Ovis aries: one gene and its partner. The protein of the gene in region 2 purifies or fractionates together with the protein of the main gene of each other region. This does not show direct contact. Links are inferred from orthologs where the notes say so. Each region holds a gene or a part of one and is shown on either strand. Other genes may lie near its edges. The genes, in order: PPP2CB and STRIP2.

Evidence for each region.
Region 1: the proteins of STRIP2 (region 2) and PPP2CB purify together in Homo sapiens (affinity purification with mass spectrometry; 3 studies listed by BioGRID and IntAct, counting the BioPlex papers as one, with this or other methods). This does not show direct contact. The link is inferred for Ovis aries from reciprocal best matches to the Homo sapiens genes STRIP2 and PPP2CB.

The regions. Positions count from the first base shown.
Region 1 is NC_056079.1:26,053,263-26,057,079, reverse strand, and holds part of PPP2CB (serine/threonine-protein phosphatase 2A catalytic subunit beta isoform), read left to right. Parts: intron 1-3,127; coding exon 3,128-3,337; intron 3,338-3,817.
Region 2 is NC_056057.1:95,043,953-95,047,769, reverse strand, and holds part of STRIP2 (striatin-interacting protein 2), read right to left. Parts: intron 3,038-3,817; coding exon 2,834-3,037; intron 1,608-2,833; coding exon 1,372-1,607; intron 1,120-1,371; coding exon 1,054-1,119; intron 374-1,053; coding exon 310-373; intron 1-309. UniProt on the Homo sapiens protein: Plays a role in the regulation of cell morphology and cytoskeletal organization. Required in the control of cell shape. Calmodulin-binding scaffolding protein which is the center of the striatin-interacting phosphatase and kinase (STRIPAK) complexes.

The DNA of each region.
Region 1 (3,817 bases), on a different chromosome or scaffold from region 2:
GGCCACCTGATGCGAAGAGCTGACTCATTTGAAAAGACCCTGATGCTGGGAAAGACTGAAGGCAGGAGAAGGGACAACAGAGGATGAGATGGTTGGATGGCATCACTGACTCAATGGATATGAGTTTGAGTAAACTCCGGGAGTTGGTGATGGACAGGGAAGCCTGCCGAGCTGCGGGCCATGGGGTCGCAAAGAGTTGGACACGACTGAGTGACTGAACTGAACTGAACTATCAGTCTTCATGCATGTTCAGTCATGTCCAAATCTTTGCGCCCTCATGGATTGTAGCTTGCTAGGCTCCTCTGTTCATGGGATTTCCCAGCCAAGGATACTGAAGCAGGTTGTCATTTCCTCCTCCAGTGGATCTTCCCCACACAGGGATAGAATCTGAATCTCCTGTGTCTCCTGCATTGGCAGAAGGATTCTTTACCACTAATCCACCAGGGAAGCCCCTATCAGAGTCATAGAGAGAATCAAACTTTGAGTTCTAAGTCACATTAAAGAAACATTCATGAGAATTACGTGCAGAGTTACACAGTGTACAGAAAAGAGCTGGCATAGCAGCCCCGAGACCACTGTCTGTTTAAAAGCTGGGTGTCAAGGTTCTTGTTGGTGTCTGGAAACTTGGATTTGGGGAGGCTTTGCACCATTCCCTGTTGAGAATTGCTCACTGTGCCTAAACTGTTCATGCAAACAGTGTGATTTATGCTGGACATGTGGTTTTCTTTGGACGTCTAGTACTTTGGTACATCATAGAGGGACCAGCTCCCCGTCTGGGCTCCGAGGCTGAAGAGCTTCCCTGTAACGGGCAGGTTGCACACAGGCGTCAGGTGTGTCTGTGCAGCTCCGCCGGGAGAAGACTCCTGAAGCCTGCCCTTGATTTGCTCGGGGCCGTGCCTCTGCGCCTTTTCCTTTTGCTGATTGTGCTGTGTCTGTTTTTACTGTCGTAAGTCATAGCCGTGAGTACACCTGTGTGCTGAGTTCTCTGGGTCGTCTTTTGTGAATCACTAGCAAACCTGGGGCGCTTTTGGGGACCCCTGACACACAGGGGTTTGTACATTGAGAATTCCAGCTGTCTACAGGTGAACTGTAACTTCTGCCAAGCCAGCCCGCCCTTTGCTTGAAGGGACCCCAGAGTGATTGCAAAATAAGAGCACTTTACAGTAAAGGGTGTGAGCTATAAATCATTTAGAAACATGAGGGATCTGTACCATAAAGATAAAAATTTGTCTGGCCTGATGAAGTACTTCAGCGCTATGTAGATAAAAGCTCAGGAAGTATTGCTGTTAATGTAAAGCAAACACACACTGTGAATCATGTCTCTTAACTCATCTTCATAGTTGTTTAAAACCTGTGCTGGGTTAAGATAACCACATGGCCTTAAAAGAACAGTTGAATTGGATAATATTTACATTTTGGTGCTTTTTATTTCCATGTTTAAAATAAGGTACTGAAGATAGTGTTTGTATGTGAAGGAGATTTCCTGTTTAGATTTGGAACCATCAGCTGAATGTTGAGGGTTTTTCCCAATAATAATAAATATAAGACATCAGGTCCAGGCACTTCCTTCATGGTCCAGTGGTTGACCACTTTCCAATGCAGGGGACATGGGTTTGATCCCTGGTTGAGGAACTAAGATCCCACATGCTCTGGGGTAACTCAGCCTGTGCACCACAAAGAGCGGGAACAGCCAAAAAAAAAAAACCAAAATAGACATCAGGTCCAACTGAACTCCAATTTATGTTCCTCAGTTTGATTTGTTTTTCTTGAACAAAATTAGGAAGCTATTTTTATGGACTAAACTTGATAAAAATGCCGTTTCATTTGTGAACTTGGACATTTCTGAGCCGTTTGTCAAACTTCCTAGGAGATACTTGATAATCTCTAAAATTCCCTTCAGTGCTAATTGGAATTACACCTTGCAGCAGCTCTGCCCTCCTCCTTGCCCCATCCCAGTGACTGACTGTGCAGCAGGGAGCTCATGTCTCAGTTGGTACATATACTTTTACCATATCTGCTCATTACTTCAGAGGATTTTTTCATTTACTTTCTGATTCTGGGCTCTTATTAGGAAAAGTTGTTAGATAAGTGAGGTGTCATGAACTTGAACTTAGTCAATATATTTAATTTGTCACTGTTTATATATAAATTCTGTACTTTAGGGCCTCCAAACAGTAACTTGAGTCATTAAATATAGAATAGTTGAAATAAAGTTGAAAGTTGTCCTATGAGTTGCTGTAAGGTGTTTGTGAAAGAATTTGAATAATTGTGACTTTTTCTTTAATATTGATATTTGTAACCTATAAATAATATTGTTCGTTTAAAAAAACCAGCTTTGAGGTGAAATTTCTATGCAAGTCAGTGATTGTGAGTGTTCACTTCACTGGCTTTTAGTACATTCGTAAATATGTGCATCCATCACTGCCCTATTAGAATATTTTCATTACCCCTAAAAGAAATCTCTTGCCCCTTAGTTATTACCCCTCAGCCCTACCTAGGCAGCCCTGATGTTCTATCTTTGTAGGTTTGTCTGTTCCAAACATTTCACATCAATGGAGTCATCCAGTATGACCATTTGTGACTGTCTTTCGCTTAGTATGTTTTCAAAGTTAACAGCGTGTAATCAGTCTTTCAGTGCTTTTATTATTGAATAATACTCCATTGAACAAATAATACCATTATTTATTCATTAGTTAGTGGGCTTTGGGGTGGTTTCCGCTTTTTGTCCATTGTGCGTAATGCTGCCATGAACATGTGTCAGCTGCAGTTTTCGCCTCTTGAGTCTCTGTCTAGGGATGGAATTGCTGGGTGACATGGTAGTTCTGTGTGTAGCACTGGGAGGACCTGCCGGACTATTTTCCACAGCAGGTGTACCGTTCTAGATTCCCACCAACACTGTGAACGTTCCCAGCTTCTCCACATCCTCAAAAACACTTGTAATTCTTTTGTATCGAGCCATCCTACGACGTGTACAGTCGTCTCTTCTTGTGGTTTTAGTTTTATGATTTTATAGTGCACATTTCAGTTGATTTTTTTCCTCCAGATTTTCTTAAATAGACAAGAAATGATGCCTTCAGATTTGTGAGAGAATCTTCTTTTTTAATTGTTGATTTCATTTCTTTAACAGGCTAAGGAAATTTTAACAAAAGAATCAAATGTACAAGAGGTCCGTTGTCCTGTCACCGTCTGTGGAGATGTGCATGGTCAATTCCATGATCTTATGGAGCTCTTCAGAATCGGTGGGAAGTCACCAGATACAAACTATCTGTTCATGGGTGACTATGTAGACAGAGGTTATTATTCTGTGGAGACTGTAACTCTTCTTGTGGCATTAAAGGTATGACTAATGAAATTCTTTTTTTTTTCCCAAGCTTTAAATCAGCAAAAGACAGAGTGGGCATTGCATATCATAATGTTCTAGTTTATGGTCCATTCATTTTATAGCCCCTTAAAATAATAGTTGATTTTACATCTTTTGGGAGAAAGATATGAAAATTATGCATTAAACTGCTCTTGCCTACTTCTGGTAAATTATTGCTATAGGTCGTAATCCGTAGCTGAAGTCTTAAAATCATTTTTAATCAACTTATCCCACATATATAGTTAATTGATACTCTATTTTTAAAATTCTTGCCTTGAGAAATCTGTTGTTTCTGTGTCTTTTCTATTTTTACTGTCGTTTAATGCATATCTTCTTCATGTCGCTTTAATTAGTACAGTAATGTGGTAACCTACATTTCTCTCTCCAAGACCTGACCTCTCCAAATCTACCTTGCATATGCTGCCAGATTAAATCTCTCTTTTAACTTTCATCTTA
Region 2 (3,817 bases):
GGAGTGAGAAGTGAGAGGAAAGGAAGTGATAAGTGGGAAGAGGGAGAGGAGGGTGGGAGGAGGGAAAAGCAATGAGAGAAGAAGGGATAACTTTTTCATCCATCTAAATGTAGGACACTGGATAGGTAGGTAGAGACCTGACTTTTTAAAATCTGTTTGGCCAAAACCCTTGCAGAGGAAATACAGAATAACAGGTTTAGAACATGGCTAGTGGAAGAGCCCCACCCAGGACCCAGGACCCTACTGGGGGTCATTCAATTTGTATTGATGGGTCCCTATCTCTGAAGACTGACAGCCCAACCTACTTACCTGCTTGAGGGTCTTCACACTCTCGTGGATGGGCCTGGGTAATCCAACCAAAGTATCTGTATCCCTGTGAACACAAGATATATAAAGGTCAGAAGTACAGAGAACTACCGATACTCCTGGAGTCATGTGGACCAGGCCACTTTCACCATCTGGTCGCCTGGATCTTTCTCTGCAAGTTATCAGGTCCCTCATTGCTTCAGGACACAAAAAGAACAACGGTACAGAGAAGAGCCTCTGTAACTTAGGATTTCTGTATAGTCTAGTGGGGACTCACTTTGTCTGGGAGTAGGTTCCTATTTTAAAGGGCACGTTGCCCAACAACACTTTTGACAGCAAAACAGCAGGAAGAATAGCTTCTGAGGTTTTGCAGTGACCGGTGGGGATTCACAAGGGTAGGGAAATGGGGAAAGACTGGATCTGTTCCCACCATGTTGCTTCTTCACAGAATTCTCTAGGAAAAGAGCCTGTAGGGATCATCTCATAACACTCTGATGAGGAAACTGATTCCCATAGGGAAATGACTTGATCAACATCCTATATCCTATACCTGGCTGAGAACATAAAAGTTCTAGGAAACTGGAAGGAAAAAACTAGATGGCAAGAACCCAAAGCAGTCACTGGGAGCTGCCCAAGGCTCTGGGTTGTATCACCATGATTAGGCAACATCTCTCATTCCAAGCCACCCACTCCTCTGCCCCCCAAGAACCCCTCTATATAGCCAATTCTGACCATCCAGTCACTTACTGCCCCAGAGTGAATCCGATGAACTTGTTCCTACTCATCTCCAAGAAGTGCTCAATGTCCTTCTGTCTGAGAGGATGGTGGACAGACAAATCCCAGAGAAGGGAAGAATAGCAAACCTTGAGAGAGAGAACCTTACTGGGCTCCCACCCCTCCAGATGGAAAACTGGAACAGCAAGGGAAGCCAATAAAGGGAACTCCCCACCCAGGAGTTCCAACTCACAGCCCAGCTTACTGAGCCTTGAATACACAGACCACTCCACCCTCAGCCTCCAGTGACTGGAACCCCAAAGCCCAGGGTTCTGGTGTTATCAAGCCTACCTGACCTTTGGGGTCCAAGGTAGGCCCTTGGGAAAGGCCACACGCTCAGCAGAGAGGGGTGCCTGTGAGGGTGGAGGGGGTACTAGAGGGTCCTGCTCTAGCAGGTCTAACTCTCCATCCAAAGTGCGTTCTCCATCGCTGGCAGATTCCTCTTCCTCCTCTGTGGCTGGTTCTTCAGTCTTAAAGAGATCTCTTTCATTGTAGATGTCCAAGCTGTCCTGCTTAGTAAGGAGTTGCTGGGGGGCGAGGAGGGTGGGTAGAAGGAGAGAGGGAAGGTGTCCAGAAATCTCAGTCTGGGCATCCTTGTCTGAGACTACCCACTACCCCCAGGCTGCTGACTTCAGGGAACATGGAGTAAGAACCCACCCCTAGTGAGAACTTTTTCTTCCCATCTCAACCCTACTGTCCCCACCAGGCCCAATTCCAGGACAAGCAGCTCTCTCAAGCAACCACATCTATGGCTGGGAGACAGAGCACAGATAATCCCAAAGTCACACTTAGGTTTCAGAAAACACTGATGCTTTTTTTTGCCTGCACTTTCCTTCCTAATTATGCTCCACTTAGGTGAACATTCAATTAATTTGCCTTCTGTGAGCATACACCAGCTGGCTGACTGAGGAAGAGGAGAATGGGAGCTTGCTGCTAGGCAGAGGGAATCGAGTTTGGAATTTTAAATCTTGTCACAGAAAGACAAAAAAGACTGGGCAGAAATAGGCCAAAAAGTTAACAGTGACTGCTTCTGGTTGTTAAGATTGTGGGTGACTTTTTTTTCTCTCCCTTTCCACACTTTTATATTTGTTCTAAATTTTCTATAATGAGTAAGCATTATTTTGTCAAACAAAAAATAAAGGTTAAAAAAATATCACACTGCAGATAATGTAGACTAGATTACTGAGTGTGACTGTCCGGACCCGTCACCTGTAGTTGGTGACGTCAGTTATATCAGGCAGGCGAGTTCTTGGGAGTATAGTCAGGTCTCAGCGCAAGTTGTACCTGTGACCTTTCTAGGGACGCAGACTATCTAGACCCCTAACCAGTCATCTTTAAATGTAAGCCTCTCGTTTCACGGCCAGAGAAGAGCACGGCGGGCTCAGAGTAAAACTTCTTACTGAGAAGAAAATGACAAAGTGCCTCTACCAGGTACCTATGGCCAAGATTTTACCCCAACTGTTGTTTGGCACACTAGGGAACTCCAGGCACTGAGGTCTAGGTCAATGATCCTTAGTAAGACGTGGATCTATGAAGTGATATCACAGTATGACATCTTGACAGCCAGGACCCCATCAGGGCTTGGGGACAGAAGCCAAAGTATAGTCTCCAAGATTTCAGGTTGGTCACAGGGCTGGTCAGGGGTAGGACAGCAGAGTCATTTGCTGTTCTTTCCTAACATATCCAGAGCTGCTTAGAATCTCGATTTTTGGCCAGCTGGTGTCACAACACCACTGTCTGCTTTAGTCCATACCCTTCGAGAACCATGGCGGCCTCGCAGTTTGGAGGGTGGAGGTGCCAGCTGAGACTCCCCCAGGTCGAGGGTGTAGGAGGGCGGGGAGGCAGCCCGCATGCTCTTCACCACCTGGATACTGTCCTCCGCCAGTGGAGGAAGGCCCAGTTCCGCCCGCTTCTGTACTTTGAGAGCCTGCAGATGCTCAAATCCACCGAGGGTAAACTGAGATTTGAACAGGAAAGGGGCAGAAAAGAGAGGAAGAAGTCAGAAGGCAAGGTCAGGGAAGTGTGGATGGAGAGAATAGTCACAACCTCCAGTCCCCGAGACCCCCTCCTTAATTAGGAAGTAATACAACAGAAGGCAAAAAGAATGTGGTAACTGGGCCCAGTCTCAGAGGTGGCCACTATCCCTTAGAGCTGAGGGGTCAGGATAAAGTACTATTTACTGACCCAGGGCTGGATCCCCAGAAATTAGGAAAGGGACTACTGAAGGCCTCCACTGGGGGATAAAAACAGGAAAATGTACCCTCTTTCAAGGAATACATTTAGATACTATACACCCCTAAAGTCACTCAAGGCCTGCCCTAGGGGGTAGGTTGTTCAGCCAGTTCTGTGGGGAGGGAGCCAAAGAGGAAGAATCGGGTTGAATAATTAGTAACAAAACTGCAACCATACACTTACAAGGACTTTGTTTTATGAAAGCAAATCCTCTATCTGAACAGAGAGCAGGCAATAAACCCTCTATTTTACAGCTAGAGAAACCGAGACACAGAGCATCGCCCAAGGTTCCTCAGTATCAACAGAGGTCAGATCTCCCACCTCTCAGCCAGTGTCCTTTCCACGAAACATTAGCTCTATCAGGAAGAGGTGCAATAACACCCTACCTCAAAAAGTGGCATCTCCCATCAGTCCAAAAGAAAAAGGTGACCTGCCCCGAAACAGAACCTCTGATTTCTCCAGGACAGCCCTATTGCCTGTCCACTGGCTAACAGCTGCCCTGTTA